Struthio camelus: one gene and its partners. The protein of the gene in region 4 interacts with the protein of the main gene of each other region in a biochemical or structural test. Links are inferred from orthologs where the notes say so. Each region holds a gene or a part of one and is shown on either strand. Other genes may lie near its edges. The genes, in order: PLAT, APBB1, LPL and LRP1.

What was found.
Region 1: the proteins of LRP1 (region 4) and PLAT form a complex in vitro, tested with the Homo sapiens proteins (2 studies listed by BioGRID). The link is inferred for Struthio camelus from reciprocal best matches to the Homo sapiens genes LRP1 and PLAT.
Region 2: the proteins of LRP1 (region 4) and APBB1 form a complex in vitro, tested with the Homo sapiens proteins (2 studies listed by BioGRID and IntAct, with this or other methods). The link is inferred for Struthio camelus from reciprocal best matches to the Homo sapiens genes LRP1 and APBB1.
Region 3: the proteins of LRP1 (region 4) and LPL form a complex in vitro, tested with the Homo sapiens proteins (3 studies listed by BioGRID). The link is inferred for Struthio camelus from reciprocal best matches to the Homo sapiens genes LRP1 and LPL.

Annotation. Positions count from the first base shown.
Region 1 is NC_090968.1:7,903,049-7,909,890, reverse strand, and holds the start of PLAT (tissue-type plasminogen activator), read left to right. Parts: upstream 1-3,834; 5' UTR 3,835-3,958; intron 3,959-6,842. UniProt on the Homo sapiens protein: Converts the abundant, but inactive, zymogen plasminogen to plasmin by hydrolyzing a single Arg-Val bond in plasminogen.
Region 2 is NC_090942.1:225,072,455-225,080,468, forward strand, and holds the start of APBB1 (amyloid beta precursor protein binding family B member 1), read right to left. Parts: upstream 3,011-8,014; 5' UTR 2,946-3,010; coding exon 2,327-2,945; intron 514-2,326; coding exon 323-513; intron 245-322; coding exon 188-244; intron 113-187; coding exon 27-112; intron 1-26. Other genes in the region: spidroin-2-like, read right to left, coding at 4,549-4,617, 5,652-6,689. UniProt on the Homo sapiens protein: Transcription coregulator that can have both coactivator and corepressor functions. Adapter protein that forms a transcriptionally active complex with the gamma-secretase-derived amyloid precursor protein (APP) intracellular domain.
Region 3 is NC_090982.1:12,935,659-12,942,672, reverse strand, and holds the start of LPL (lipoprotein lipase), read left to right. Parts: upstream 1-4,006; 5' UTR 4,007-4,044; intron 4,045-4,141; 5' UTR 4,142-4,274; coding exon 4,275-4,344; intron 4,345-7,014. UniProt on the Homo sapiens protein: Key enzyme in triglyceride metabolism.
Region 4 is NC_090969.1:285,937-293,929, reverse strand, and holds the start of LRP1 (prolow-density lipoprotein receptor-related protein 1), read left to right. Parts: upstream 1-4,980; 5' UTR 4,981-5,055; coding exon 5,056-5,131; intron 5,132-5,669; exon of another isoform or gene 5,670-6,271; intron 6,272-7,993. UniProt on the Homo sapiens protein: Endocytic receptor involved in endocytosis and in phagocytosis of apoptotic cells. Required for early embryonic development. Involved in cellular lipid homeostasis.

The DNA of each region.
Region 1 (6,842 bases), on a different chromosome or scaffold from region 4:
AAGTCCTTGGTTAAGCACAGAGTCTCTTCACCTAGTACCAAGTACCCATGTGAGAATAAGGAGCTGTTGCTGATAATCATTTTCAGCAACATATTTATAAAGCTTATTTATAAACTTATTTATAAAACTAAGACTTAGTAACTAATCAGAGTGAGGCCAGCCTAGGTGGAGAAGACAGCACAGGGTGAAACAGTACTGTTATTCAAATAACAGAGCTCAGAGAAGGTGCAGAGTGAAGTGACCACAATAAACTTGGCTTCTGGCATTAGACTGAACTTACTTATCAGGACAGAAATGCATCAATACATCCTACGAGAGGAGACGGAGGTTTGGCAGTCACTGCACTGAAAGAAGACAGTCAAGATCAGCTGCTCAACACATACCTTCCAGGACAAAAGCACATTCCGTATCCTGATTGCTCAGGAAAGCTGCTGCCCAAAGAGAGTGCCAGAAATCCTCCACAGCTATGGCAGCAAAGGATTGCCAGAAGGGGGACGCACAGACTTCTGACATGGTTATTGAGGTTTTGTTACCAAAAGTCCATCTCTAGAGAATGCAGGCAACTGGCGTCCCTGCCAGTAGCATCCATTTTCAAAAAAGTCTATCCTCCTTACTGCTAGAACACTTCATCAAATTACTTCTGTGCATCAAAACATTCAGACCTAGTCACAAGCAGAACAACGGCAGAATCTGAGTAGCTTTTTGCACGTACTTCAAGTAACGCTGAGAATAATCCCTAAGAGGATTTTGTATAAGGCAGAGGTACAGTGACTATAAAGCAGTGATCTGTGCAAATACTTTATTCATACCACAACATACTTCTTTCACCTTAGCAGACAGTGAACTTTCCCCCATGAAACCAGAAAATGGCTTCATTTTATATCTACATTGGTAGAGAGGTTCCAGCAAACGTGCAACAGAGGGGGCTCTTGAACTTAAGCTGCCTGGAGCGCTGCTCTCTTTACTGCCTTGTGCCCAAACTCTGCATGCTGCAAACACACACACACACACACACTCCAACAACCCCGAAAAGCCCAGCTCCAAAGAAAACATCCAACCCCATAATACTATTGTTTAACGCATTTAGCAATAAGCAGTATTGCAATTCACTGAGAGCTATACGCATGAGAGAACCTAACACTCTAGAGTCCGTCTTGTCAGATACCTATCTGCCACTCATGCAGATACCTATCTCCTGCTACCCTAGTTTCAATGTCTCACTCATCCATCACATATCATTATCCTGGGACACAGATTTCTACACCGAACGGTTTCATAAATATCATTTAAGATACAAAGCTAATGCAGAAAGATATGGCTAAGAGCAGCACCCTTCTTCAGGAGGGTGCAGTCTCTGACACACAGTTGCTTCAGCAGTGAGCATGCACCTTCCTCTCTAGAGAGAGCGGAGGGCGACAGGCAGCTCTTTGGAGCAGGACCGTGTTATGCTTGGTTTGATATGCTGACGTACACGTTTATAATGGGATATTCGAAGAAGCACAATTAGATTTACATCCAGTCTGGGCACCTCTGAATGTACTCTCTACCACTTAATAATAAAAATAAAGCTGGAACAGTTTATAGGTCTTCTACGTAAGACAAGTAACAAGTTGGATTTAGGACTGTCTGCATTTGGACACTTAAAACTGATTTTTAAAGGTATTTAGCTGTCTACCATAGGTGACAATTACTTGTTTTTAAAATATCAATCTAATCCTAATTATTAGTATGGACAACCATGCAAAGGGAAGCAACCTCAACATTGGTCTGTCACAGAGAGATGAAACTGTTGATGCAGTCTTTACTGTGATGAGGATAGCACATATACATGTGAAGTAATACTGTCTGTGAAGAAAAACAAAAAACAACTCCCCCCCAAAAGGCACCCCCCCCCCCCCCCAAAACATGAATTCCAGTGCTCTCAGCATCTCCAGAGATCACCTGAGCCCTTCACCAAGAGCTATGCACACTACCGGAAAAAGGCATAGCAGATTAAACTTTTCTCTAGAGATTAAAGTTCTCAACTTAGCATCTTTTAATGTTGTTAAATAGACCCGACCCCAACCTTCCAATTTCCAGGTTTGATATGTATTTAGTAAAGATGTTATGGTAGTTATAGTTAGGCAACGTACAGCCTGAACCAAAGTTGTCCCGAGTCCCCTCCAGACCTCCTACATGCCCTGGAGTTTGCAGCTGGTATGGAACTGAATGTAGAGGATCCACAAAGCATTTGAACAGTTGCATTCTTGATGAAGAGCGCCCAGACAACATCCTGACAGACTAGGCTCCACACTTCATCACTAACACGGTAGCCTGCAGAAACCCTGTCCTGAGAGAGGAGCAGCTTAGAGGTAAGCCAGGAGATGGTGGCTGTTATGTTGAAGCAGGAGACGCTTACTGCTGGCTTTCCTAAAGTATGTTAAGCACTACAAATGACACTTATACCACGCTCTCTAGTCAGCTGCAGAAAAATCTTTTTACAGGAAGTGTCCTTAAACACGAGCTGTGAAAAGCCAGGAAATAAAATAACTTTTTGAATCCTGTCCCCAACCACCACTTTGTTGGCATCTTTAATCTAGAAGTCCAGTAGCAAATAATTGGAATCTTTATAAATAACACAAATTAGCACCTGTTCTCTCTGCAGCGTCCAATCACCTTTTTCCTCAACAACCAGGAGTTCCCTGTGGTAACAGTCAATAACCAGGTGTCCCTAAATCAGTTTCATGGCAGTTACGTTACTGCTTGCATTGTGACTCTCAGAGAAACAAGTTATAAATTCTGACATAGATTTCCACACAGAGAAGAGAGAATCATTCAGGGTCACCAGTGTTTCCTTTTGCCATTGTGCTTAATAACCCTTGCCGAGTTTCCCAACAGGGGACTCTTGTGCAGCTATTTCCTGAAAGTGAAAGTCCCTCACGAGCTATTTCTTATGTCAGTGCTTACACTAAATTGTATCAGGAACCTCATTGCTAGCGAATCAGTTCCTAAAAGTTAGCACACATCTGTTACTGTAACCACTACATCACTGATACTTGTCATATCCCAGCCCTAAGTTCAGATCTAAAACTGATCATTTGTATTTGTCTGCCACACTTTGATATTGCGTACTGTATGCTGGTAAGTAGACTATCACTTTCTAAGCAATAAACCTTTAACCCTTTGGTCCTTACCATGATATTCCTCATTTCTAGTTAAGGATTCTTAGCAGTTTTGCTCACTGTCTGCATGGAACTTGAGGGCTCCACTGACAATTTCATCTCCAAGTGGCACTGCTCATGGCATGCTCTGCTCCACTTAGAGATCAGGCCAAAAATTCTCAACAGATATCATTCGGACACAGCACATCATGCTCCTGCTTGAAATGGGAGCTCCTCAGGTTTAAGACAAAGCCTACAAGTTGCAGACCTCTGATCACGTTAGAAATAATATATTCGTGCATTCACTGGGGCGCTGCTTGGGCATTTCTCCCCTCATGTTCCTAAAAGCATGAAGAAACAGTTCTTTATAAGGGATACATACTACTCTCCCTCTTCCTGAACCTTAAGATGTTAAACAGGTAGAAAAATTGTTCTAAGGACTGAATCTGCACTCTGACTGGAATAAAGAATGAACAAAACCAGTTGGCTGTAAAATTCAATATGCCCTACTACTTCAGCAAGCAACCTTTCTTCCTATCCTGTACCTCCCCCCCCCCCCAAAAAAAAAAAATACAATGGATGCAAGCCACCCTGTCCTAGGTCATCCCCACAGCCTGCCCAATATCTTCCCTCTGGAAGAAGAAAAAAATAAAAAAAAGTTTGCCCTACCGCCCTCTTCAGTCTCCACCCCCTTGAGTAGAGTTTTAAGTAGGATAGGAGCTGTTCAGAGAGATCAGAGCTGAGACGCAGAAAACACATAACCAGACTGGTCTGTAAAGGAAATCATCAGCAGAATACAGAAGAAGAAAAGTCAAAAGGTATGTGCTACTCTGCACCTGTTTCAAAACGCGTATTTCCCATTTTCAACATCAATGGCATTGTTATTAAATACTACTAAACATTATTATTTAATAATTAAATATCATGGTGCTTTAGTGGCATTACACTGAGCTATTGCCTTTCAGCGTCTGAGGAGATTTAAAGCTGCTAGTTTTCAGTTGTTTCAAGAAAGCCTCAGCAAGCTATTCCATGGAAAGGGCTGACAGCCTCAGGCTCTGACCAGTTAGCAGGGAGGAGTCTCCTGCACAGAGAAAATTTAGCAAAAGAACTTCATATCAAAGAAGGCTTGTAAACAAACGTCCTGATGGTAAGGAGAGACCCGGAGAGCCAGCTGTGAAAGGATTATTTATTGTCTTCCTGGGAGGAGATCAGACTATGCATTTCTCCCTAGGCTCCCAACCAGGATAATGGAGGGACAGAGAGGAGGAGGGCGAGTCTTCTTCAGTTCTCTCTGAAAACCCTCCTTTCAAATGCAGCCAAAACCACAGGAAATATTGAGAGTGATTCCCAAAAGGAAGCCGGACTTTGAAATAGTCATTTCCTCCAATGCCTTCAAAGACTTCAGACTCTTACTATTTCTTTTATTTCTTTTCTCCAAAAGGAAAGGTTTGTCCGCTGTCATCCTTTAAAGGGAAATAGTAAAGAGTCCAAATATCTTCTGCTCAGTTCAGAAAACGGATATAGCAACACTTTCTCCAGAAGGCAGGAAAAGACAGAAAGGATCTGCAATCCTTTATTTGAACTAATTCAAGATAGTGGTCCATCAGGAAGAAAACCATTAGTGCTGTAGATTCAGAATCAAAGCAGTATTCTCTAATGGACAGATCTGGGTCACTGCAGGGGAGGGATTTAGGGGGAGCTGTTTTTAATCTCTGTTCTACTAATGACTTTTGTGTGACCTTGGTAAGATGCTGTTCGTTTGGGGTTTTTTTTAAGTTCTTTTTCTACATCTGTAAGATAACACTCATATCCTTGCTGCTGAGAAAGGCTGTTACTAAAAATAAAATCATTAAGAGTTAAAACTTGAGATTTAAAGTATCCTTGCTGATGATGCTTCAGCAGAGGTAATGCATCTGCAGCATTCCTTATCAGGTTGATTCCATGCCTGTACCGAGTTATATGCTACTAACTCAATCCTTGTACCATGTGTGGCATCTCATGAGTTGCTGGTCTGCTTGATTAGCATGGAATAAACCATCTCCAGTAAAATGCTATAGCGTATTGGTTGCAGTATGTTTGTTCAGCTTACTCCCCTACGTGTTGGCTAACATAAAGGTCAATAGGAAAAAGATTTGTATAGCACTGGCTCTTCTAAGAGTAGAAAGCTCTCACTACAAGGCCTAGGCATTCACTGTAGCAATTCACTCCATCCTTTAAAATCTTGATCCATTTTTAAAACATATTTTAGCCAAACCTCCAAATTCATCCTCCTCAGCTCCATTTCCCCCTTCTGTCTGTTTCTCTTGTTAAGGAAACTATTTCCTTATTACACACATGCTTGCTCAAAGTCTAATTATGAACAAAACAAGCAGCTTCTAATTCATGTTGAATTCCAAAAGAATTAAGTGTAACAGCCACTATACATTCAGGGTATCATATGCCTTTATGCCCTAATATACCTGAAAGTATAGAATCAAAGACTTTTTGCTGGATTATTTCTCCATCAAAGAGGAAGCAAAGGGTCAGAGCAGCAGGCACAGACTGTTTAGCAGAGCTCTATAAGAAAGAGTATTGCTAGTAGGTTTCTGCTTGCAGTCTTGTAAACACAGTATTTTTCAAACAGCCATATGGTGTCAGTTTGATAGGGCTTATCGTTCAAAACATTTCAGTTGTCTGGCATAGGTTCTACCTTTCCCAAAGATGAGACTAGAAAGATACAGCTGTCAACAGATGTTACCAACTTTCCATGTATACTGGGACGCCAGCCACAAATGGATGGACAGGCATGGGAGGAGAGAGGAGGGTGGAAAGGTTGTAGCATTATAATACCAGCTAGCCTGAACTGGGGCAGCAAAATTAAGCGGAGGAAAGGATGCAGTATTTGACGCATGGTAACTGCAGCAACACAAGCTGTAGCATTCTGCAGTATAAGCACACAACAGCATAAGATTAGAACGTGCTTGTGCAGCAGACTATACGGGATAAACTTGATTATAACATTCAGTTCTTATTCCAAGTCACTCAGGTGCTTTTCAAATAGGGATTTCTCCTTTCAGTCTCTAAGACTTTTCTTTTTTCTTTTCTTTTTTTTTTTTTTTTTTTTTGGTGAAAGCAGGGGTTCCCCCCCCCCCCTAAAACTAGCTATAGTTCCCACTGGTTTCAGTCATCTTGGACTCCCTCCAAGATATTAGATAGGCTGGCTTTGCCACTCTGTCCTGCAAAAATAAATAAATAGATAAATTCAGACTTCACCAATGTTGACTTATTTTGGGTATCTTAATGTGTACCTCAGAAACAAGGTCTCAACAGTTCTTTATGGTGCTTCCCAGAGAGAAATTCTAACAAAACAGTTCCTCTCAAATTTGAGTGTCATTTAATGAATCTTTCCTTAAAGAGGTCTTAGCTAGCAGAATCTCATTCTTAAAGCTGTCAGTGAGAGATTCCAGCCTCCCTCACAGATGGCAGCAAAAATAACCAGTGGTACTAACGAAGAGCAATTGAAAACCTTGCAGCTGTGGGATTCAGAACATGTCCGCGCATAGCTCTGGTAATGGGCAACAGCTGCAGGAATTGAGGATAACAGCAGCAACCAAGTGACTTCTGAGAAACAGTTTAGATCTTGCACTGCATCTTCAGGAACTTCACTGATTTAGTTCAGATTCAGCTAGAACAGTCCTGTGAAGTAATGCCTACTTGAAAAAC
Region 2 (8,014 bases), on a different chromosome or scaffold from region 4:
GTGGGTCCCTGCACAGCTCCAGACACCTGACGCCTGGTGAGGCCAGTCCCGTGGCTGGTGGCTCCGCATCCTGTGCTCCAGGCTCATCAGTTGCTTCCTCTGCTGCGGTGTCCTGGGAAGAGAAGAGGGGGCTGGCAGGAGCTGGGCACAGCAAGGCACCCCCCCTCAACCTGCAGCTGCCTCTTACCTTCCAGAAATCCCCATCGCCAAAGCGCTCAGCCGGGGCGAAGCCCGTCCAGGCGAGCTGCGGAGAGAGTGGTGCCGGTTCAGTGAATGCACAGCAAAGCGATGCACCCCGTCCCCCCTGCACCCCAGGGCTCACCGGCTGCTCCTCGGACGGGGTGTTGCTTTGGGAGCTGTGTGCTGAGCCCCGGGCCAGCCCCGAAGGCGGCTCCCACTGCGTGGTGCCCGTAGGGATGTGCCAGTAATAGGTGCCCGAGGTGTCCTGCACCCGCATCCATCCCGCAGGCAGGTCTGAGTCCGTCTCGAAGGAGTTTCGGGTCCAAAATGAGTCTGGATGGGGTGAGGAGGGCTGGTGAGGGCCCCCTGCAAGGCACAGCCACCCTACAGGCACCATGGAGCCTCCCTGCCCCCCAGGACCAGGCACCTGCCCCATTGCCCAGTAAGGTGGGGTCCTCCACACCAGGGTGACCACCAGCCCCCACCCCCCCATCAGCATGACCATGGGGATCCCATGGCCAGGCACGGCAGCAACCCCCACTGCCATGACCATGGGGAGTCCCATGGCCAGGCAAGGCATCACCCCCCCATCACCATGACCATGGGGGTCCCATGACCAGGCAAGGCACCACCCGCCATCACCATGACCACGGGGGTCCCATGGCCACGCAGGACACCAACCCTCACCACCATGACCATGGGGGTCTCATAGCCAGGCAGGACACCAATCCCCATCACCATGACCATGCGGGTTCTATTGCCAGGCAGGGCACCACTCCTCCATCACCATGACCATGGGGGTCCCATGGCCAGGCAGGACACTGACCCCCATGACCATGACCATGGGGGTCCCAGGGCCAGGCAGGACACCAGCCCCCCATCGCCATGACCATGGGGGTCCCATGGCCAGGCAGGACACTGACCCCCATGACCATGACCATGGGGGTCCCAGGGCCAGGCAGGGCACCGACCGCCATAGAGAGAGGGGTCCCCACTGCCAAGCAGAGCACTGGTACCCCATATTGAGGGGTCCCACAGGGCAGATGCGTGAGTCAGGCATCGTGTCCTGGCTCAGGACCCTCAGGGCCGGGGGGCAGTGCTGCAGCCCACCCCCCCCCGACATGCCCTCGCTGGGGCACCCCGAACACAGAGACCAGCCCAAGCGCCGGGGCAGGGAGGGCTCCCCGTGCTGCAGCCCCCAGGCCCGCCGGCGCCAGCCCCTGTGCGCAGCCGCCCTGGTGTCCCAGCCCTGCTGCGCAGCCCCTACCTGGGCGCGTGTCCAGCAGGACGATGGCCAGGAAGTAGTCCTTGCTGTACATGGCGCTACCGCCCCATCCCGGGGTCCCGCCGGCGGGGACCGCACGCTGCCGGCCAGAGCGCAGCCTAGAGCCCCCACGCCCCCCGGCCGCCGCGCCGCCCTCCCGCCGGATCCGCGGGGGACGCGCGGCGCAGCGCCTGCCCCAGCTGCCTGCCCGCTGGCCGGCCAGCACCTCCCCGAGCCCCCGGCCCGCGCGGCTGCCGTGTCCCCCGCCCCGGGCACGAGCGCCGCGCTGTCGGCACCCCGCACCCTTCCCCGCCCGCCGCTGCGGGGAACGGACCCCCGCCCCCTGCCCGGGCGCCCGGCATCGCCCCGCGCCGGCCGGCGGCCCTGGCGCAGCGCTCACCTGCCGGGACCGCCGGGATGCAGGCGTTTCCCCGGCAACCACTGACGGCATCGGCACAGGCCGGCGCGCGGCCACGGGGACGGGGGCGCGCGGCCGTGCGGGGAGAGGGCGCTGGGGGGCACAGCGGGGCCGCGCAGCCAGGGAGGGGGGGCAGGGGCAGAGCGCGGGGCGAGCGGCAGGCGGCAAGGGGGCCGGGCGGCTGGAGACGGGGTGCGCGGGGGCACAGCGGGGACGGGGAGACGGCCCAGCCAGGCACAGGGCTGGGGTCACGGCGGGGGGGGCTCAGCCGGAGCGCGGTCGCGGGACGCAGCGGGGACCGCGCAGCGTGCCGGGGGTACAGCTGGGCACGGGGCGCGCAGAGCCACAGCGGGGACCGGAGGAGGGCGTAGAGAGCCCCAGGGGCCGCCAGCAGGGTCCGGGGTACAGCGACGGGGTGGGGGGCAGGCCGAGGGGCAGGGGGATGGGAGGGGGCCGAGACCCACCTGCGTCGTCGGGGGAACTGCAGGCAGGGCTGCCCTGGCTGAGCGTGGCCCAGCTGGAGTCCTCGTCGCTGGCGGTGCTGCTGCGCACGCCGAAGAGCAGGCTGGCGCTCTTGCCGTGCTCCCGGGGGGCGCGCTCCGAGCTCTGCTCCGACTCGGCCGTCACGGGGTCGCTCTGCACCGGCGTGGAGTCCCCCCCGTCCCCCTCCTCCTCCTCCTCCTCCTCCTCCTCCTCCTCCTCCTCGCCGGCCCGCAGGTCTATGAGCAGGCCGGGGCCGGGGCCGCAGCCGGCGTTGAGGGCGTTGCGGGCGGACACCTCCAGCTCCTGGGGCGGCGGCGGGGGGCCCAGCTCGTTGCGGTTCTGGTCCCGCTCGGCCGCCTTGCGCAGCTGGTTCTGCCCGTCCTTCACCCACTTGGCGTTGGCGGGCTCCTCGCCCGGCGGGGGGCCCAGCCCCACGGCGCTCTGCAGGCCGGTGCAGCCGTAGATGCGGCGGCCCTTGGGGGAGCCCGGGGGGGCCTTGGCCGGCAGCGCCTGGCCGGGGGGGCCCTGCAGCGCCAGGCTCAGCCCCAGGCAGCTGTTGTCGTTGGCCAGGTCGCTCCGCTTGCCCAGGGAGCCCGACATGGCGCCGGGGGCCGGGGGGCGCCGGCAGGGGTGGCAGCGGCCGGGGGGCGGCCCCACGCGGCCGGGGGGCGGCCCCACGCGGCCGGGCCCGCTCTCGCCTGCCGCCGGCGAGGAGGGCTCCTACGCGCCCCGGGGCGCCGGCGCCTCCGCCTCCATGGGGCCTGCGGGCACGGCGGGCTCAGGGGGGGCGAGCGCGGCGCCCCGGCCCCCCCCCCCGCTCCCGCCTCGCCCGCAGCCCCCCCACGCTCCCCCGGGCCACGGGGTGGTGCTAGACCCACGGACACCCGGCCCGGCCCCGCTGACCCCCCCAGCCCGGTCCTGCCCCACCGCCTCACAGCCCTGCCCCACTGCCCCCCCCAGCCAGCCTGGCCCTGCCCCACTGCCTCATAACCGGCCCGGCCCTGCCCCACTGACCCCCCCAACCCCAATGACCCCCCAGTCAGCCTGGCCCTGCCCCACTGCCCCCCCCCAGCCAGCCTGGCCCTGCCCCACTGACCCCCCCAGCCAGCCTGGCCCTGCCCCACTCCCTCATAGCCGGCCCGGCCCTGCCCCACTGCCCCCCCAGCCCCAATGACCCCCCAGCCAGCCTGGCCCTGCCCCACTGACCCCCCCAGCCAGCCTGGCCCTGCCCCACTCCCTCATAGCCGGCCCGGCCCTGCCCCACTGCCCCCCCCCAGCCCCAATGACCCCCCAGCCAGCCTGGCCCTGCCCCACTGACCCCCCCCAGCCAGCCTGGCCCTGCCCCACTCCCTCATAGCCAGCCTGGCCCTGCCCCACCGCCTCACAGCCCTGCCCCACTGCCCCCCTCCAGCCAGCCTGGCCCTGCCCCACTGCCCCCCAAGCCTGGCCCTGCCCTGCCCCACTGCCCCCCCCCCAGCCCCAATGACCCCCAGCCAGCCTGGCCCTGCCCCACTGCCCCCCAAGCCTGGCTCTGCCCCACTGCCCCCCCCCAGCCAGCCTGGCCCTGCCCCACTCCCTCATAGCCAGCCCAGCCCTGCCCCACTGCCCCCCCCCAGCCCCAATGACCCCCCAGCCAGCCAGGCCCTGCCCCACCGCCTCACAGCCCTGCCCCACTGCCCCCCCCCAGCCCAGCCCTGCCCTGCCCCACTGCCTCATAGCCAGCCCTGCCCTGCCCCACTGACCCCCAAGCCTGGCCCTGCCCTACTGCCCCCCAGCCCGGCCGAGCCCTGCCCCACTGCCCCCCCCCAGCCCCAATGACCCCCAGCCCAGCCCTGCCCTGCCCCACTGCCTCATAGCCAGCCCGGCCCTGCCCCACTGACCCCCAAGCCTGGCCCTGTCCTACTGCCCCCCAGCCCGGCCGAGCCCTGCCCCACTGCCCTCCCCCCAGCCCCAATGACCCCCCAGCCAGCCTGGCCCTGCCCCACTGCCTCATAGCCGGCCCAGCCCTGCCCCACTGCCCCCCCAGCCCAGCCCTGCCCCACTGCCCCCCCCCCAGCCCCAATGACCCCCAGCCGGCCTGGCCCTGCCCCGCTGCCCCCCAGCCAGGCCCTGCCCTGCCATCCCCCCAACCAGCCCCGCTGCCCCCCAGCCATAGGGCCAGGCCCGGACACCGCTCAGGCTGCAGACCCCACACCACACCGGGTCAGCCCGGGGCCCCAGTGGAGCCCCCCAGCTTTGCCATGGGGGGGGTCCCGGCACCGCCATCGCCCCCCTGCAGCCCCCATGGCCCTCGTAGGCCAAGCCCCATGCCCCCTGCCCAGCTCCCTCCCCAGCCCTTTGTCCCCTCCCTGGCCCCCAGACCCCCGGCCCAGCCCGGGCCCCTCCCCAGACCCCTGTCCCCATCGCTGCAACACCGACCCCAGCCCAGGTCCTTCCCCGGCCCCCAGACCCCCCAGCCCGGCCCCCTCCCCGGCCCTCAGACCCCCCAGACCCCCCACCCAGCCCCCTCCCCAGCCCTCAGACCCCCCAGGCCCCCAAACCAGCTCCCTCCCCAGCCCTCAGACCCCCAGCCTGGCCCCCTCCTCAGCTCTCCCAGACCCCCCAGTCCAGCCCCCAGACCCCTCAGACCCCCTAGAACCCCTCCCTGGCCCCCAGACCCCCAAGACCCTCAACCCTCTCCCTGGCCCTCAGACCCCCCAGACCCCCAGCCCAGCCCCCTCCTCAGCCTCTAGACCCCCCTGTCCTGCCCCCAGATCCCTCAGACCCCCAAGACCCCCTCCCTGGCCCCCAGATCCCCCAGCCCCCCCTCCCCGGCCCCCCAAGACCCCAGCCCGGCCCCCAGATCCCCCAGCCCCCCTCCCCGGCCCCCCAAGACCCCAGCCCGGCCCCCAGATCCCCCAGCCCCCCCTCCCCGGCCCCCCAAGACCCCAGCCCGGCCCCCAGATCCCCCAGCCCCCCCTCCCCGGCCCCCCAAGACCCCAGCCCGGCCCCCAGATCCCCCAGCCCCCCTCCCCGGCCCCCCAAGACCCCAGCCCGGCCCCCAGATCCCCCAGCCCCCCGCCCCGGCCCCCCAAGACCCCAGCCCGGCCCCCAGATCCCCCAGCCCCCCTCCCCGGCCCCCCAAGACCCCAGCCCGGCCCCCCCCGGCCCGCAGCCCCCGCCCCGCTCCCCGGGCTGAGCGCCGCTGGGCCGGACCGGGCCCGCCCGCCGCCCGGGGCCGGGGCTGGGGCTGGGGCCGCCGCGGAGCCCCCCCGTCCCCGCCCCCGCGGCCCGGCCCGGCCCGGCCCGCTGCGGCCCGCCCGGTACCTGCGGCGGCTCCGCGGCGGGGACCGGGGGAGGGGGGGCGGGGGGCGGGGGCGGGGCCTCCGCTTCCGCTTCCGGGGGGGCGGGGCGCCGACCGGACCCGACTGGACTGGACTGGGACGGACCGGGCCGGGCCCGACTGGGCTGGACCGGACCGGACCGGACCAGACCAGACCCGACCTGACTGGACCAGACCGGCACCGACTGGACCGGACCTGACCGAACCAGACCTGACTGGACCGGACTGGCACCGACTGGACCGGACCTGACCTGACCGGACCAGACCTGACCGGCACCGACTGGACTGGACCCGACCGGACCGGACTGGGACGGACCGGGCCAGCACCGACTGGACTGGACTGGACCAGACCAGCACTGATTGGACTGGACCGGACCTAACCGGCACCAACTGGACCAGACCCGACCAGACTGGACGGGGACGGACCGGGCCAGCACCGACTGGACTGGACTGGACCGGACCAGCACTGATTGGACTGGACCGGACCTAACCGGCACCAACTGGACCAGACCCGACCAGACTGGACGGGGACGGACCGGGCCAGCACCGACTGGACCGGACCAGACTAGACCGGGCCAGGACAGACCAGACCAGACCTGACTGGACCAGACTGGACCGGCACCGACTGGACCAGACCCAACCGGACCGGACTGGGACGGACCGAGCCAGCACCGACTGGACCGGACCGGACTAGACTGGGCCAGGACAGACCAGACCTGACCTGACTGGACCAGACCGGCCAGCACCAACTGGACTGGACCCGCCCGGGACGGTCCAGGCCAGCACCAACTGGACCAGACCAGACTGGACTGGGCCGGGACAGACCAGACCCGACCTGACTGGACCGGACCGGACCTAACCGGACCTAACTGGACCGGACTGGCACCAACTGGATGGCAGAGCTGGATGGCTGAGCTCAGAGGGTTGTGGTCAGTGGTGCAGAGTCTAGTTGGAGGCCTGTAGCTAGCGGTGTCCCCCAGGGGTGAGTCCTGGGTCCAGTCTTGTTCAAGGTATTCATCCATGACCTGGAGGAAGGGACAGAGTGCACCCTCAGCAAGTTGGCTGATGATACTAAACTGGGAGGAGAGGCTGACACACCAGAAGACTGTGCTGCCATTCAGAGGGACGTGGACAGGCTGGAGAGGTGGGCGGAGAGGAACCTGCTGCAGTTCAACCAAGGCAAGTGCAGGGTCCTGCCCCTAGGGAGGAATAAGCCCATGCAGGCACCAGTACAGGCTGGGGGTTGACCTGCTGGAAAGCAGCTCTGCAGAGAAGGACCTGGGAGTGTTGGTGGACAACAAGTGAAGCATGAGTCAGCAATGTGCCCTTGTGGCCAAGAAGGCCAATGGGATCCTGGGCTGCATTAGGCAGAGTGTTGCCAGCAGTTCGAGGGAGGTGATCCTGCCCCTCTACTCAGCCCTGGTGAGGCCTCACCTGGAGTACTGTGTCCAGTTCTGGGCTCCCCAGTACAAGAGAGACATGGCCCTACTGGAGAGAGTCCAGCGGAGGGCTACCAAGATGATTAGAGGGCTGGAGCATCTCTCCCATGAAGAAAGATTGCAAGAGCTGGGCCTGTTCAGCCTGGAGAAGAGAAGATTGAGAGGGGATCTCATCAGCGTGTATAAGTATCTGAAAGGGGAGTGTCGAGAGGATGGGGCCAGCCTCTTCTCCGTGGTGCCCAGCGACAGGACAAGAGGCAACGGGCACAAACTGAACCACAGGAAGTTCCACCTGAAGCTGAGAAAAAACTTCTTTCCTGTGAGGGTGACAGAGCCCTGGCACAGGTTGCCCAGAGAGGTAGTGGAGTCTCCTTTGCTGGAGATCTTCAAAACCCGCCTGGACGCGATCCTGGGCAATGTGCTCTAGGGGACCCTGCTTGAGCAGGGAGGTTGGACTAGCTGATCTCCAGAGGTCCCTTCCAACCTCAGCCATTCTGTGATTCTGTGACCCGACCAGACCAGACCCGAACGGGATGGACTGGACTGGACCCGACTAGACCGGACTGGACCGGGCCGGGACAGACCAGACCCGACCCGACTGGACCGGATCGGACCAGCACCAGGTGGATTGGACCAGTACCGACTGGACTGGACCAGACTAGACCAGGCTGGGACAGACCAGACCCGACCCAACTGGACTGGACCGGACCGGACCAGACTGGACTGGACCAGCACTGACTGGACTGGACCAGACTAGACCGGGCTGGGACAGACCAGACCCGACCTGACTGGACTGGACCAGACAAGACCCAACTAGACTGGACCAGCACTGACTGGACCGGACCCGACCGGGATCGACTGGATTGGACCCGACCGGAGCGGACCCGACTGGACCAGAGCAGCATGGA
Region 3 (7,014 bases), on a different chromosome or scaffold from region 4:
ATCAGCCCCACGACCAATGGGTGGGGAGGTGGCCTCCACTCCCCTACCGGCCGCCCCAAAAGGGGTGCAGGAATGTCACTCCCTCGGCGTTGCATTTTGAAAGACACGTCTGGCGAGACAGCCAGCTGACTTTGGCAGGCAGTACCAGCAGCGTGATAATTAATTAAAGCACACTGCAGCGCAAGCCTACTCTGCAGCCAGTTCTGCAGCTCCCTAGCAGAGCGGGGTGTCTCACTATAGCTCGTACCTCTTTATTCGGGAGAGTGGGCAGCTTGCGTCTGACGCTGAAAATAAGAGAGCAGGATGAAATGAAATGAATCCTGGTGATAACCAGCAAGAAGTGGACCTCGTCTGCAAGATGAGGCAACCTGGGAACAGAACAGCAAGTCCTACCACAGTAGTAGAAAGGGTAGGAAACCAAGACTGCTAACAGTCGTCCTCCATAGGAGATTTCTTCCTCCTGTTGCATGGGTGACGTTGGTCACCCAAGGCAGGCAAGAGTGCAGGAGGAGCAGGTGCCCCTGTTGCGGGCAGAGCCGCAGCCGCAGCACAGCTCGCTGCCTTTCATTGACTCCCGTTGAGCTCTTCAGGCACCAACAAAGTGAAATTGCACGGGACTGCGTCGTCAAACAGACACCCAGGCAGCCCCTGCTGAAACCCTTCCCGCAGCTCCCACCCGCGTGACCCTGCCCCGTCCGACCAGCGCCTCTGCCCCATGCTCGCCACCCCCGCTGTGATTTGTCCAGGGTGGAAAGGGAGGCAAGACCGTGCCCAAAAACACTTACAGATCAGCTTTGATGGGACAGGCTCGCCAAGGACCACCCAGTCCCTGTTTGTGCCTGGATGGCTTGAGGACATGCTGTTCCTCCCTCAGAGCACATCAACGATCCTCAGCCCTGGACTGGAGGGTCTCCACTGCAGGTGGAGTCGTGCCCACAACCCAAATGTCATTGTGGGCAAAGGCTGGGAAGGGCCACTTTTATTCCCAAACTGAAATTTTGTTAGAAATGGCTGGTTTTCATGAGAAAGGGTTTTTCAAAAATATTTCATTGGTATCTTTGAAAAAAATATATTTATTGTTATTTACTCACATAGAAAACACATGGAACCTCCTTCTGAGTTTTTTGATGTAATTTCCCTTGTTTTCCTCCATTCAGGAAAAGACAAAATTTAAATATTTATAAAATGTAAACAAAGACTTCTTACTTATTTGCATTTCCTAAGGGGAAAGAAAGCAAGAGAACAGTTTTTTTGCTTGTTTCTGAGCAGAAGTCTTTCTTTAGAAGACCTCTCATCCTTAGCTTCTGAGCCTTTTGTTAGAAAAGGGTTAAAGCAACACAGAATTTTTCACAGTTACAGTTAGTTTCTCTGCTCTGGTTTTTACACTTTTGCCTGGTGTTTCAAGCGCTCTTTGGAACATTGCTGTGTAAACAAAATTTTGGTGTTGAGTATTCTCTCGCTCGCAGTCGAGTCCGTCTGGTGAATTTGCTCAGGGTTTCTTGCAGCTGCACCACACAAACCGATGCTGCCTATGCTGTCTTGCGGACTCTTGCTGGCTTGTTTTGACATTAACCTTCTACATGGTCGGTGGGTGCAAGTACCAGCCTAGTTATGCAATTCCTGTCTCCATTCCTCCTGAACTTTTTCCCCCTCTGGATAGAAACAATGTATTTTAGTTCTCACTGTTACCTTCTACCCACTTGGGAATCCTCTGGTATTATAAATTAGGCTCTGTTTTATGGATGGAGCTTTGGTTTCCCTTATAGGATTATTTATTTTGCAGAAGAACCAAAACTCATATCCACTATTAACTGCACTGAGGCGCATTCAAGTTGATGCCTCAAAGGTTCTCCTTGGTCTGATTACCATTACCTGCAAGGGAAAGAACATTTTTAAATGTCGGAGAACGTGCTATGTCAGAACAGTGCTACTGCAGATTGCTTAGTGTTTAGGAATGCTTTCTGCCTTCATGAAGTCCCATATATTTCAGATTATTTTGCAGCTCGGTTTACAGCAGACTTGGACAAGTTGTTCAAGACCGGGAAACCGGAAATATCCCACCAGGCTTTTTTTTTTACTATATGGAAGTTTTCTATTTGTGTTTTGTTTTTAATTTTCCTTCTTTATTTTTAGGTGGAGACTTTGCACAACGCTTTCAGACTATATCTTAAGATGAGGCGTGGGCATGACAAGGAACATAAAATTATGCAAGCAAGCATTTTCCATGTAACGACTCAGTTTTTATTCTGAGTAGTTTGCAAATCTGCTGCCTGCTCTTGCGACTGATAAGTTACAAGATTTGTGTTGGGAACAAATTGAAATTCTGATTCCAGCCTGTGGATCTCCAGAGGTTCGTAGGGGCCAGTAGACCACCCAGGGCTGACCAACCAGGCATTGCTACTGCTCTTTTCCACCTGCTTGATCTGATCCAATTAGCAGTTAAAATTAAATTATTAGTCTTCCTACAGTTATTGTCTGAACCTAGATAGAGTCAGACAGATTTCTGGGGGCAAATTACGCTATAGAGTTTCAGCTGAATGGGACCAAGAGAAAGCGCATTGTTTAGTCAATACTGAATAAAAATAAAAGAGAGAGAAAAAAAATTTGCCATCGTTTTGATCAGACGTGACTCGCTGATTTATCAAGAGCAAGATGCAGCTAGCACAAACCCCATTTGTCATACCACTATACTCCTCTGGCAAGGCAGACTTGTCTCTCCCCTTTCCCCCCAGCCTCTCACCTCCTGTCTACCCCACCTTCTCCCACTCACCCATACAGAGGTTAGCACCCTAGCCCAGTTGTCTCAGTTGGAAAGTAAGTCTCAGCATGCTCAGTCACACCGTCATTAAATTCTTTCTTTGCCTTTTGGATATAAATAGGAGTTAGTAGAGAAGGAACCTCGTGCTTTGTCCTGGGGAAGATGTATTCTCTCTTAAAGGTCTTATTACTCTTCCTATGAAATCTAAAGTTGCAATGGTGACCTCTGTCCTGCAGTGCTGAAGTAACCTTGTATTGAACATCCTCACTAATATGAATCAGAAGAATCAGTCATACCCAAAGGGAATCCCATTTGTTCCACCTTGCACAAACCAAGGAGTTCTCGTTCCGTGTGTTCAAGGCTTCTTTATGAAACTGGGGCTTTGACAAAGCACCGCAGAATGAAATAAAAATTGGTCTTGTCATTAACTTAATATTTCTTTATTGCAAGTGCTTACATAACTGATCTTTCACCCTGTGGCTAACAATGGAAAGCTGCTTGCAAACCATGTTGCTGAGAAAAGGGCACTGAGAGTTGAACAGCTCAGAGATGTAACTTTGCATTTCTCCAGAGTACAGATGCAGTCTTTAGGGTATTTATTTACACCTCAGACTTGTACTCCCTTAAGCACAGGCAAAACAGGATTTTGGCAGGGGCTTTTCAAGTGAACAGCAGAAGGCCCATTGCAGGTGCTGGATTACGAGTGCAATTAACAGTTGGTTCTTGGCACAAAAAGGTGGACGACAAGGGAGATCTTGTTGCATGCACAGAGGAGTTAGGACAGGGAAGAAATGCAAAGCAAAAGGAAGAGTAGCACGGGTGAGCCCCTTGGCTGATGCCCACACCGCAGCGAAACGGCAGGGCAGAGCGGGCCCTTCAGGGGGCAGGTGCCACAGGACAAGGAGAGAGCGGGGCAGATGTGGGCACCGCTGTGCGCTGCCTGAGCTCCTGGGTCTCGGCCATCCCTCCCTCTGAGAAACTCCTGGGACCCCGCACGAGAAAAGCATCTCAGAAGGGGGCTGTGGGGAAACCGTGCCGTGCCATGCCGTGCCGTGCCGTGCCGTGCCGTGCCGTGCCGTGCCAGGCTGGACCGTGCTGTGCCGGGGCGGTGGGGCCCCACGGGGCTGCCTCGCCCCCCACCCCCGGCTCCGGGCAGCCCCGGCCCCGCCCCTCGGCGGCTCGGCCAATGAGTGCAGGGCTCATTTGCATATTTGCATATCGGCGGGGACATAAGGGCCACCGGGGAGCCGCGGTGGCAGAGGGGGCGCCCGCCTGCCGCAGCCGGGGTGCTTTGCTGGGAGAGGCGGGGGGGGGCAGCTAATTTTTTTTTTTCCTTAAGTGAGCTTAATCTGTTTTTATTTTTTTTTCTTTTTCGCTTTGCAGCTCTTCTAAAACTTTTTCCCCCCACCCACCCTCCCACTTATTTATTTATTTATTTATTTCCCCCCTTCTTCTTCCCTTGCACCGAAACTTTTGCGCCGCGCCAGAGAGCGAGGAAAGCGAGCGAGGAGGCGACATGGGGCGGGCGGCGCTGCTGGCAGCCCTCTGCCTCTGCCTGCGCTGGGTGCCGGCGGCCGCGGCCGAGGGTGAGTGGGTCCCCAGGGTGAGTGGGTCCCCGGCCCCGACGGGGCGGCGCGCGGGCTGCGCGGCGGGCGGGCCGGCTGCAGGCACTAGTGTCGCCGCCGTGGTGGGGAAGAGGGGTTGGTTTTTTTTTTCCCCGCTCGGGGAGGAGGCTGGCGGGGGGGGGAGGGGGGAGGTTTTGGGCAGGGGGGTGCTGCTTGCCCCCCGGGGGGCCGCAGGGAGCCCCGCGTCCCCACTTCCTACCCTTCTCGGACCCTAGGAACTGCGGGGTCTAGGGCACACGGCTGAGTTTCAGCCGGGGCATGGCACTGTAGTTGTAGTTAATGCCTTTCCTGCAACAGACTGTATTAAGAAAAAAGCTAACAAAGGGATGGCTATACCCTAACAGGGTCCACATATGTGTACTTTACTACATATATGTGCATCACTATGCCTATGCAATACCTGTTTTATATATATGTATAGGCACCCCCCAGGATATAGAAATTAGAGCATCTACACACAGTGAGTAGTAGATGCTCACTAATACTCTCTTGGCTAATCCGTGAGAAGATTGCAGATTTAACAAGCAAAGAAGCTGGTTATAACAGTCCTGCAGTCCTCAAATTTATGATAGCAGTGCCCTGTCAAGGTCTCGCTTTCTTAGATATTGTGTGTGAGAGATTAGTGTATCTTTAAAAGTCCACACTGTTAGAAGAAAATGTGGATGTATCTGTTATAGCCACAAAGTGAAACTAAAGTGGAAAATAGAGTCTGCTGCTTTTTTCACTGTGGATGTTTCTGTTATTTGCTTTCTGCATAAAGAAGCTGGAGGGAAGTATTCAGAAGTAAGGGGATGGGGTGCTAGGGCACAGCCAGAGGAATGTATTCTCGTATTAAATTCTATCTTGTGCCATCAGAGGCAATCAAAAGTGATTTTCATCAAAGTGTCTAAGTTTCATAAAGTGAGATAACTTTTTCTGAGCAAGCTTTCATCCCTCTAGGAACTGCTTTGCTACAGAGCCTTTCTAATGATTGTATTAGTTCTCCATGGAAACAGGTTGTATGAGAACAGGTTGTGTGACCGTCCTAAAACTATCTAAGCCTCAACTCTCACTCTTATTTCTTGCTCACCATAGTAAAAAGATGTTTTGAAACCATGGAAAATACATGACCCAACCCTCCAGGAATCCAGAGTCTTTAATAAACAACATTAAAAAAATCTTCTAGGTGAAGATAACATTGGTGTTCCAGGAAAAGATAACATTTCTGGGAATGCATTCTGTTCTCTATTTTTACCGGTGTAAATCCAGAGTCAGGGGTTACACCAGATTTACACTGTTGTGTGATGTGCGCTGCCAGCTTGTGCTACGGCTGTTTGGGATAGACCTACCAGAGCAGCTGTGGCATGGTGTTTCCAGCAGCAATGCATTTCTGAGACCGAGCAGAGGTGAGGCATCCAGGCTATCCAAAGTGTGCTGGAGAGTAGCATCAGGATAAGCGCTCATAAGGAAGCTTGCTGGAATTTCTTAGGTGTAGGAATTTCTTAGGTGCTTGCATGGTGTGGCTTTCTCATGCCTCCTTTGTACTGTAAAGTTGACAGTGATTGTATTTTCTTGTCTTGGGCTAATTCCAGATACCCCAGAGGGACTGATGGATGGCAAGAGCTCTGCTACTAAATTGATTGAGTTACAAGCCTCCCAGCTGCAGCTGAGTAAGCATCTGCTGGACAGGGAGCGCCTCGGCCGTGGGGCAGGCACCCACGTGCACGGTGGCAGAGCGGGGGTTTGCCTCACACCACCAGTTGCGGGGCTTGAGCAGGCAGGTCCCCACTCAGCGCCTAAGCTTAGGGCCCGTGGCTTTTCAGAGGTGCTGGTCTTTCCACTGGCTCTGCCTGGGAAATGTGGGAGAACTTGGGCTCAGAGCTCTGCTGTTAAGGAAGACATAAATAAACTGGAAGTCGAATTTCTGTCACAGCAAAGTTAAACAATAACCTGACTTATGGGGTAGGTTTTATGGGATTGCAACACAGAAGTCTGATTTCAGTTTATAGAAAATATCAAATTAAACAGTAACACCTTCTGTGATACAGTCCCTTTATTACAGCTGTCTGAGTTTGCTTGAGACGCCATGCAGGAATTCAGTACGACTGATGCCTTGCCATAGTGCCGGTTATCATCTGGAGGACAAGCTATTTCAGTTAACTCCAGCTGTTTCTGTAAATGTTTGACTTGATGTGCAGATATGTGCCTCTGTGGCTGTGTGTGTGTGTGTGTGTGTGTGTGTGTGGACTTCCGTTTACATGGGCAAGCAGTCTAATTTCTGATGTTTGTTGCACCTAGCTGATAGTATTTTCATTTTTGTGTAAATAACATGAGGAAATTGTTGTTTGTCAAAGTTTCCCTGTTAAATTCACAGTTCAGATGCACTGATTTTGGCAACTGCATTATTATGATTTTTGGCCGCCTGTGTCTGAGGCTGGCAGTTTAATTTTTGCTTGATATTCCAGATGCTGTTATTCCTCAGAATCCAAGTTCTCCACCCAGCTGACTAGTGATAAAGTTTCCTTCATGAAAATCAACTGCAAGACTGTCTTAGATTTCCCATGAAGGAAATTTGAGGTTGAATTCTCTTCTTGATTAGGGTGTAAACTTGCATTTACACTGTGTCAGAATGCCTAAAGTCAGTGGGGTTCT
Region 4 (7,993 bases):
GAGATTTTCCAGCGCACGAAACCCAGGTCACCCGGGCGCCGCTCGCGCTCCGGCACCACGTCCCGCGGGGAGGCGAAGGCACCGGACCGCGGTCCTGGGGCAGCAGCGCGGCGACGCCGGTCACGAGCCGGGCGCAGGGGCGCAGGCCGGCCACGGCGCACCTGCGGCGAAAGCCCTGCTGAGTCAGAGGGAGAAGAGCGTGAGCGCGCAGGTTTTTCCCCTGCGGACCTGCCCGACGTGACTCACAGCGTGGGAAGTCCAGGCTGGACCAAGCCCGCGGCTCGCGCCGCCGCGGGACCCCGTCCGCAGGACCCGCCGGGGCTCGGCGGCTCAGCGCCGCAGCGCGCCAGGAGGCACCGGCTGGGTGCTTTCACTTTGTCCCGGCGGCGGGGAGCTGGCAGCCGTGCCCGCAGGTGCTGGTGCTGGACTTTGGGCCAGGCTGCCGCGCCGCGCTGGCCCAGCCGGCGCTTCCACCCGCGCCTTCGGGGTCGGACCGCCGCGCAGGCGCCCACCGGCTCCGGCCGCATCCACGCGAGACGCTCCGGCCTCTCCACCCTGGGGCCCTGCAGGCCCCACAGCCCTGCCCCGAGGCCCGTCCAGGCCAGCCCAGCCGGAGGAGCAGCCGCTCTGAACCGAACCGAACCGCGCACGGGCAGCGCCCGGCCATCGTGGCACGCCGCGCAGCGTCCCGGGAGGCGAGCAGGAGCGCCGGCCAGGATCGCCGCTGGATTCCCCCGGCCCACGGGCAGCGCAGCCCGCAGCCGCCCGGCCGGCTCAGGCACGCCCTGGGGCTGGAAAGCTGCCTCTGGCGCTGCGGGATGCCCCGTCCTCGAGGGGCAGCTCCCCGAGCCCCGGAGCAGGGCCCTCCCGGCTGCTGCTTGCAGCCCGGCCTGGCGGGAAACCAGAGTTACGCGAGCGCGCCGCTGCTGGACGCCGTGCAGCCCCTCGCCCTGACCCCGGAGCCCCGGCGCGCGGGGCGGCAGCGCAGGGGCAAGCCCGGGGGCAGAAAAGCAGAAGAGAAAAGCGAAGCCCAGCTGCGCTCCCCCGGCGCAGAGAGGGCTGCGCGCGGCCCCAACGGGGCCGGCAGTGCTGGCGGGACGAGCCCATGACCGAGGGCAACTTCCCCCTTCCCCAGGCACGTCCCCAGCTGGCTGCAGCCAGCCCCCAGCTTCCTCCCTTCCTTCCGGGCAGGGGCTTTCGAGCCCGCACCCCCCGACCCCGGCCCGGGATGCTGCTCGGGCTGCAAACCTGCCCCGTGTTGCACCGCAGGCTGCGCCCCCCGGGCCGCCCGCCCGCCCCCCCCGGGCCGCTCCCGGTGCACCGACCCGCCCCCCCGGGCCGCCCCCCGGCCCGTCCCCCCGGGCTGCTCCCGGGGCACCGACCCGCACCCCCGGGCCGCCCCCAGCCCACCCGTCCGCCCCCCCGGGCCGCTCCCCCCGAGCTGCTCCCGGCGCACCGACCCGCCCCCCCGGGCCGCCCCCAGCCCCCCCGCCCGCCCCCCCGGGCTGCCCCCGGGGCCGGCGGGCGGCCGGGGAGGCAGCTGTGTCCCGCGGGGGCGCGCTGCTTTGGGGGTGAGCGCTCCCCTGGGGCTGCCCCCGGCCCCGAGCTCCCCGGGCGCCGCCCGAGCCCGGGGCGGTGCCGGCGCAGCCTGGGCCGCGTCCCCGGCGCTGTCCCGTCCCGTCCCGTCCCGTCCCGTCCCGTCCCGGCCCGGCCCGTTACCTGGCGGGGGCCCCGCGGGAGGCGGCGCGGGCCGGGGGCGGCCGGGGCCGGGCTCCCCGCAGCGGGCACCCGCGGCCGCCGCTCCGCCAGCGCCAGGAAGGGGAGGAGACGCCGGGGCGCCTGCGTGCGCGGCCCGGCCCGGCCCGAGCCGCGGCGGCACCGCCCGCACCGCCGGGGCCCCCGACCGGCCGCGGGCCGGGCTGCCCCGGGCTCCGCTGCCGCCGCCGGCCGGGCCCCGCGGCCCCCCAAGCAGGGACAGCAGCCTCCTGGCTGCGCCTCGCTGCGGGCGCGGAAGCCCACGCACACGCGTGACGCCGCCGCGCGCCCCTTCGCGGCCGCTCTGCTGCCCGGAGCGTGCGGAGCCGCGACGGTGCCGCGCGGGGCCGGGGAGGCAGCTGTGTCCCGCGGGGGCGCGCTGCTCTGGGGAGCGCATTCCTCTGGGGGGGCAGAGTGTTGGGGGGGCACTGTTTTGGGGGGCACATTGCTTTTGAGGTGTGCACTCCTTTGGGGAGCACAGTGCTTGGGGAATGCGCGTTGCTTTCGGGGGTGCACGCTGCTTTGGGGTGCACAGTGCTTTGAGGGTGCACACTGCTTTGGGGTGCACATTCATTTGGGAATGCACGTTGCTTTCGGGGGTGCACGGTGTTTTGGGGTGCACAGTGCTTTGGGGAGCACATTCCTTTGGGAATGCGCGTTGCTTTCGGGGGGGCACAGTGCTTTGGGGGGGCACAGTGCTTTGAGGGTGCGTTGCTTTGGGGAGCGCGTTGATTTGGGAATGCACGTTGCTTTGGGGGGTGCACATTGCTTTGGGGTGCACGGTGTTTTGGGGGTGCACAGTGCTTTGGGGTGCACATTCCTTTGGGAATGCACGTTGCTTTGGGGGAAGGCGCCCACGCGGGGCCGGGCGGCCCGTGGCCCCCCCGCGCGCCGCGGGGGTGCAGGGCCGCGGCGGGGCCGCCAGGGGGCGCTGCTGCACCGCCAGTGTCACCGACCCGGGGCGGGGGCGGTGCGCGAGCGCGCCGGGGCGAGCGGCCGGGGGGGCTCCTGCACCCGGACAGCCTCCTCGGGGGGGTGCACCCAGCTGGGCCCCCTCGGGGGTGCACCCCGCGCTGTCCCACGGGGAAGCGCAGTGCCATGAGGGTACACCCAGCTCGGCCCCACCAGGGGGGGCAGCACCCTGCACAGCCCTGTCCTGGTGCCCCCCCCCCCCCCCCCCCGCCCGCAGCACCCTGCTGCTCCAGGAGGGCACGTTTCGCTGCCCCGGCACCCCCAGGAGCGGCCAGGGCCAGCGGGACGGCCGCGGGGCCGGGGAAGGGTCCCTCGGGCCCGTCCACCCCCCCCCCCCGGCGCTGGGCACGGCGCGGCCCCCGGCCCGTCCCCCCCGGGGGGGGGGCGGCCGCGGTGCAGGCGTGGGAGGGCCCCTGCCCGGCGCCCTGGGGCTTGCACAACCGCTGGGGCCTCGGGGCGGGTGCAGCCAGCGCCCCAGCAACATCTGGGCCCTCCCGAACATCTGGCAGGCGGCCGCGAGGCAGCCGGGCGCTCTGCCCTGGGGCCGACCCCCCCGCGCCCTGGCAGCCCTGCCGCCTGGCCGGGACGGGGTGGGGGGGACGGCGTGTGATGTCACTCGGGGAAGGGGGCGCAGGCAGGTCCCGGCCCAGGGGCCCGGCGCCGTGCGGCTGCAGCGCTGCGGCTGCCCCGCGCGCCCCACTGTCCCCGCGCTGCCGCACGGCCGGGTGACGCGGCAGCTGCACGATGGCCCGGGGCCCGCTGCGATGGCAGAGCCGCCGGCGCGCTCCTGGGACGGGCTCCCCAGCCGTGGTGCTCGCCCGGAGGTGGGGACCCCCCGGCCTGCAGCTGCCCCCTCCGCCAGCCGGCTCCCCGGGGCCCTTCCCAGCGCTGCAGCCGTCGGCAGCGCGGCCCCGGCTCGCCCCGGCCGGCGCCGCAGCTTGCGGCGACGGAGGGTCACGTTCCCTGCAGGGGAAGGGGTCTCTGGGGAGAGCCGCCTCCGGCCGTGCCAAGGGGTGAGCGCCCCCCATGCTGCTCCCCCCGACCGGCGGCAGCCCCAAACCCGGGGATCGCAGCTCGGAGGGAGCAGGGTGCCCTGGCCGGGTGCCCTGGCCCCGCGCGTTCCCCCGGGGCACCTCCTGCCTGCGGGGGGACAGGGGCTTGCGGCATGCTTGCCCCAGCCCCCTGCCCCTATCCCCATCCCTGCCCTATGCCCATCGCACATTCCCATCCCCTATCCCCATCCCTATTCCCTGCCCCATCCCCATCCCATTTCCCCTCCCCATTCCCTGTCCCCATCCCTGCCCCATCCCCTTTCCCCATTCCCATCCCCATCCTCATTCTCATTCCCATCCGTGCCCCTGCTCCTACCCCCATTCCCCATCCCCCATCCCCGTTCCCATTGCATCCCCACCCCCATTCCCCACCCCCATTCCCATTCCCCATCCCCTCACCCCATTCCTTTCCCCTATCCCCATCCCCATTGCTATTCCCATTTGCATCCTTATCCCCTCACCCCATCCCCTCACCCCATTCCCCATCCCCTATCCCCATTCCCCATCCCCATCCTCTCGCCCCATCTCCATCCCCCATCCCCATCCTTTCACCCCATTCCCCATCCCCTATCCCCATCCTCTATCCCCATCCTCACCCCTTGCCCCGTTCCTATTCCCATCCCCATCCCCTATCCCCACCCATCCCCTCACCCCATTCCTATCCCCTATCCCCATCCCCATCCCTATTCCCATTTGCATCCTTATCCCCTCACCCCATCCCCTCACCCCATTCTCCATCCTCTATCCCCATTCCCATCCCCTATCCCCATCCTCATCTCCTCACCCCATTCCTATCCCCATCCCCTATCCCCATTCCCATTCCCCTCGCCCCATCTCCACCCCCATCCCCATCCTCAGCCCCTCCCGCGGGCTAGCGGGAGGGGGGGCCCCGCAGCCCCCGCACCGCACGCGCATGCGCACCGCGCGGGCGCCGCGCACGACCCCCCCCCACCCCGTCGGCGCGCGACGCCCCCCGCCCCCCGCGCGGCGGCCCGGGCCCGGTGACGTCAGCGGGCGGCGGCGCGCTCCATCCCGCGGCGGCGGCGCGCGCAGCCCCCCGCCCCCGCGGCCGCCCCGTCCCGTCCCGAGGGCGCCGCCGCCGCCGCCGCCGCCCAGGGCCGCGAGGCGGAGGGGCCTCGCTCGCCGCCCGCCCCGGCCCGGCCCGGCCCTCCGCTCCCTCCCCTCCCCGCCCTCCGCGGATGTCGGTGCGCGGGCCCGGGACGCGCCGCCCCGCGGGCACCACGGCGTGAGGAGCCGCCGCCGCCGCACCGCCGGCATGGGGCCGCCGCTGCCCCTCGCCGCCTGCCTGCTGCTGGCCCTGCTCGCCGCGCCCGCCGCCCGCGCCCTCGACGGTGAGTCCGCGCCCCGCCGGGCCGCCCGGCGCGGGGCTCGCCGCGCCCGTCGGGGCTGCCGCGGGGGGGGGCCGGGCCGGGCGGCGGCGGCAGCGCTCGGGGCGGGGGGCGCCGAGCCGCCTCGTGCCCCCCCGCCGTGCGCGGAGCCCCGCGGGGTGGGGGGGGGCGCGGACGGGGACGAGCTCCTCCTCCCTCGGCGAACTTTTCCCAGATTTTCAGCAAATAAAGCAAAATCCTCCCCCCCCCCCAAATATATCCCTGGCAGATAATTTCCCGTTCCTCTCCATTAGCTGCAATAACGCTTCGTTCTCCTCCCCTGGAATCAAACGGTCCCTCCCCCCCCCCCGCCCCCGGTAGCCGAGCAGGAAAGTTGTGACTCGCCGTCGCGGCCGGCGCTGCCGCCGGGCCGAGAGGCCGCGCGGACCCGGCGCCCCCGGCCGCCTCTTGCATAACGCGGCGCTGCGCGAAAGCGGCTCTGCCGGGCGCGGGGCCGGGGCCGGGGCCGGGGCCGCGCCGGTGGCACCCGCGAAGTGTTTACCGAGCGGCCGGACAGCCCGGCCGAGCTGCTTTTCCCTGCGCCGCGCACGTCCAGGCCCTGCTCTTATTGATCTATTCAGTAAATAGTTTTGCGAGCTCGTCAGCTCGGTGGCTGGTGCCTTTGCGCGCGCGAGGGGCCGTCGCTGGCAGCGCGAGCGCGCCGAGGAGCTGGCAGCGCAACAAATGCAGCTAGCGGTGAAGGAGTTCCTCGCGGCGTTTGAATGCGTGGGGCAGAAGGTTGCTTTTTCCCTTCAAAAGCACAGAAACGGGGGCTGTTCCCGGGCTCGCTTGCGACGTTTCCCTTCTATGGGTCCCCGCTGTGCAGAAGCGCCTGATGAAGGCAGGCGGGTCTGGAGCGGTTGATTGGTGAGGGGATTTTTTGGGGAAGGCTCTTCTGTCCCTTCCGGTCCCCCGCTTGGAGGGAGCCGGGCGAAGCTGTGGTTATTTGGTGGTGCGGCAGAGGCAGGAGCAGCGCCGGCCCGTGGCGAGGCCAGGCGGGCGAAGGCTCGATAACACCCCGGCCCCAAATTAACTCTCCTGCCCCCGATTAGCGGCCGGTGCTGCAGGAGGCTGCAGCCTCCGTTCCCGTCCCTCGCTCTGGGTGCTCGGTCCGAAGGGCGGAGGTGGCGGGAGGCGGCACGTGCAGCGCCGGCACCGAGGGCCCGGCGGGGTCCGGCTGCTCCCGCTGAGCTCGCCTGGCCCCCGCGTCCCCCAGACGCCTTCCCCTTCGCTGGGCTGCGGTTTGAAGCCGCTGAATTCGGGAGCTGGCGGGGGCGGGAGGGGCAGGCATCAGTCATCGCATAAGCGGTGTTGCCTGTGGAAACGGGCGACGGCGACGCGGAGCTCCTCTGCCCCGCTGCCCACCCGGCCGGGGAGCCACGGGAACCGGCGCGGGAAGCACCCCCTTCCTGCCGAGCGGCTGGCTGCGCGCCTCCCCGCGCGGGAGCATCTCCCCCTTGGGGTGTGCCCACCCCAGAAACCCTTCGCGTGGCCTGGCGGCAGGAGCGGGGTGCCGGGTGGGGTTCACCTGGGAGGTTGCAAAGGGGGTTCTGGGGAGCCCCGCTGCTTCCGGAGGGGCCGCTGCTGAATAAGGCACGGAGCTGGTCTCGGAGGCCGGGCGGCCCCGCGGCGTCCGCCGGAGCAGGGGTGCGCCGCGGGCAGGAGCGTGCCCGCCGCGGTGGGCCCTGCGGGGGGAATCGAGTCGCAGGGACGGCGCGGCGCGGACAGCCCGGGGCAGAGCTGGGGGTGGGCGCGGGGGTCCTGCCCTGCTCCGTGGAAAGGATGCTCCTTCCTTAGGCAGAGAGCGGTCCTGCGCCTGCCCCCCGAGCCTGCTCCCTTGGTGCACGGTGCTGGAAGCTGTTAATCCCTCTCTGGCTTTGGTGGTAGAAGAGATAGGAGACAAAGTCCAGCAGATGGGGTGGGTGGAAGAGCTTCTCCAGGGGGACAAAGGGCACTGGTCCACGGCTCCTGTCTCTGCAGGGCTCCTCTTCCCGCTTGCCGGGGCGTCAAACCTCCCTGGGCCCCGTTGCACAGTGAACCATGCTGGGGAGAGGCGGTGCGGGCAGGGGGGGATTGCTCCACTGCCGGTTTGGAAACCCTCATGTTTAGGGGCGGCAGGGGTGATCCAGCCTGTTGCTTTCCTCTCGCTGCCTTGGTGGCCTGGCCCATCTCATGTGTACGAGGGCAGTGCGTGTTGCACGTGCGTGTGCATGCATGCGCGCGCCCGCCCGCTTCCCCGAGTGCATCCGCACAGGGCCTGAGCCGAGCTGGGCTCAGCAGAGGTGGAGCGGCGGCGCAGCTTGGGGGCTGCTGGTGGAAGGAAGCAGGTGCTGCCGCCGGGGCCCCGGGTCGCGGGGGCAGGACGGGGAGGGTGCCCCGGCATCCTGCGCATGGCGAGACCCTCGCTCTGCAGTGGGCCTAGGGGGTGCACCTGGGAGCTCTCTGCTCTGCAGGAGGCTGTTCGCACTCTCCCAGCTCTTGGTGCTTCTGAAGAGTAAAACCACCCAAGTCTTTCCTTGTTCCTCAAAGGCCTTGGTGCCCAAAGCCTCCCCTTCCTGGAGGGGAACGGACTAGACTTTCACCTTAATTGGTTCCTCTTTGCCACCAGCCCGTACTTGATTTGCAGCTGCTGAGTGCTGGCTGGCTCTGCTTTTGGGAGCAGCAGTGGTTTGTCCCCTCACTACGGGAGCGGGGGCAGGCCTGGCTTTTCTACGTGCGGGGTCCAGAGCTGGAGGTGAGGGATGACGCTGCTTCCTGTTGGTGCTGGATGGAGATACGTGGAGGATTCACTGGGTGAGACCGGTTTTCTTCCCCCACTTTGAGCAT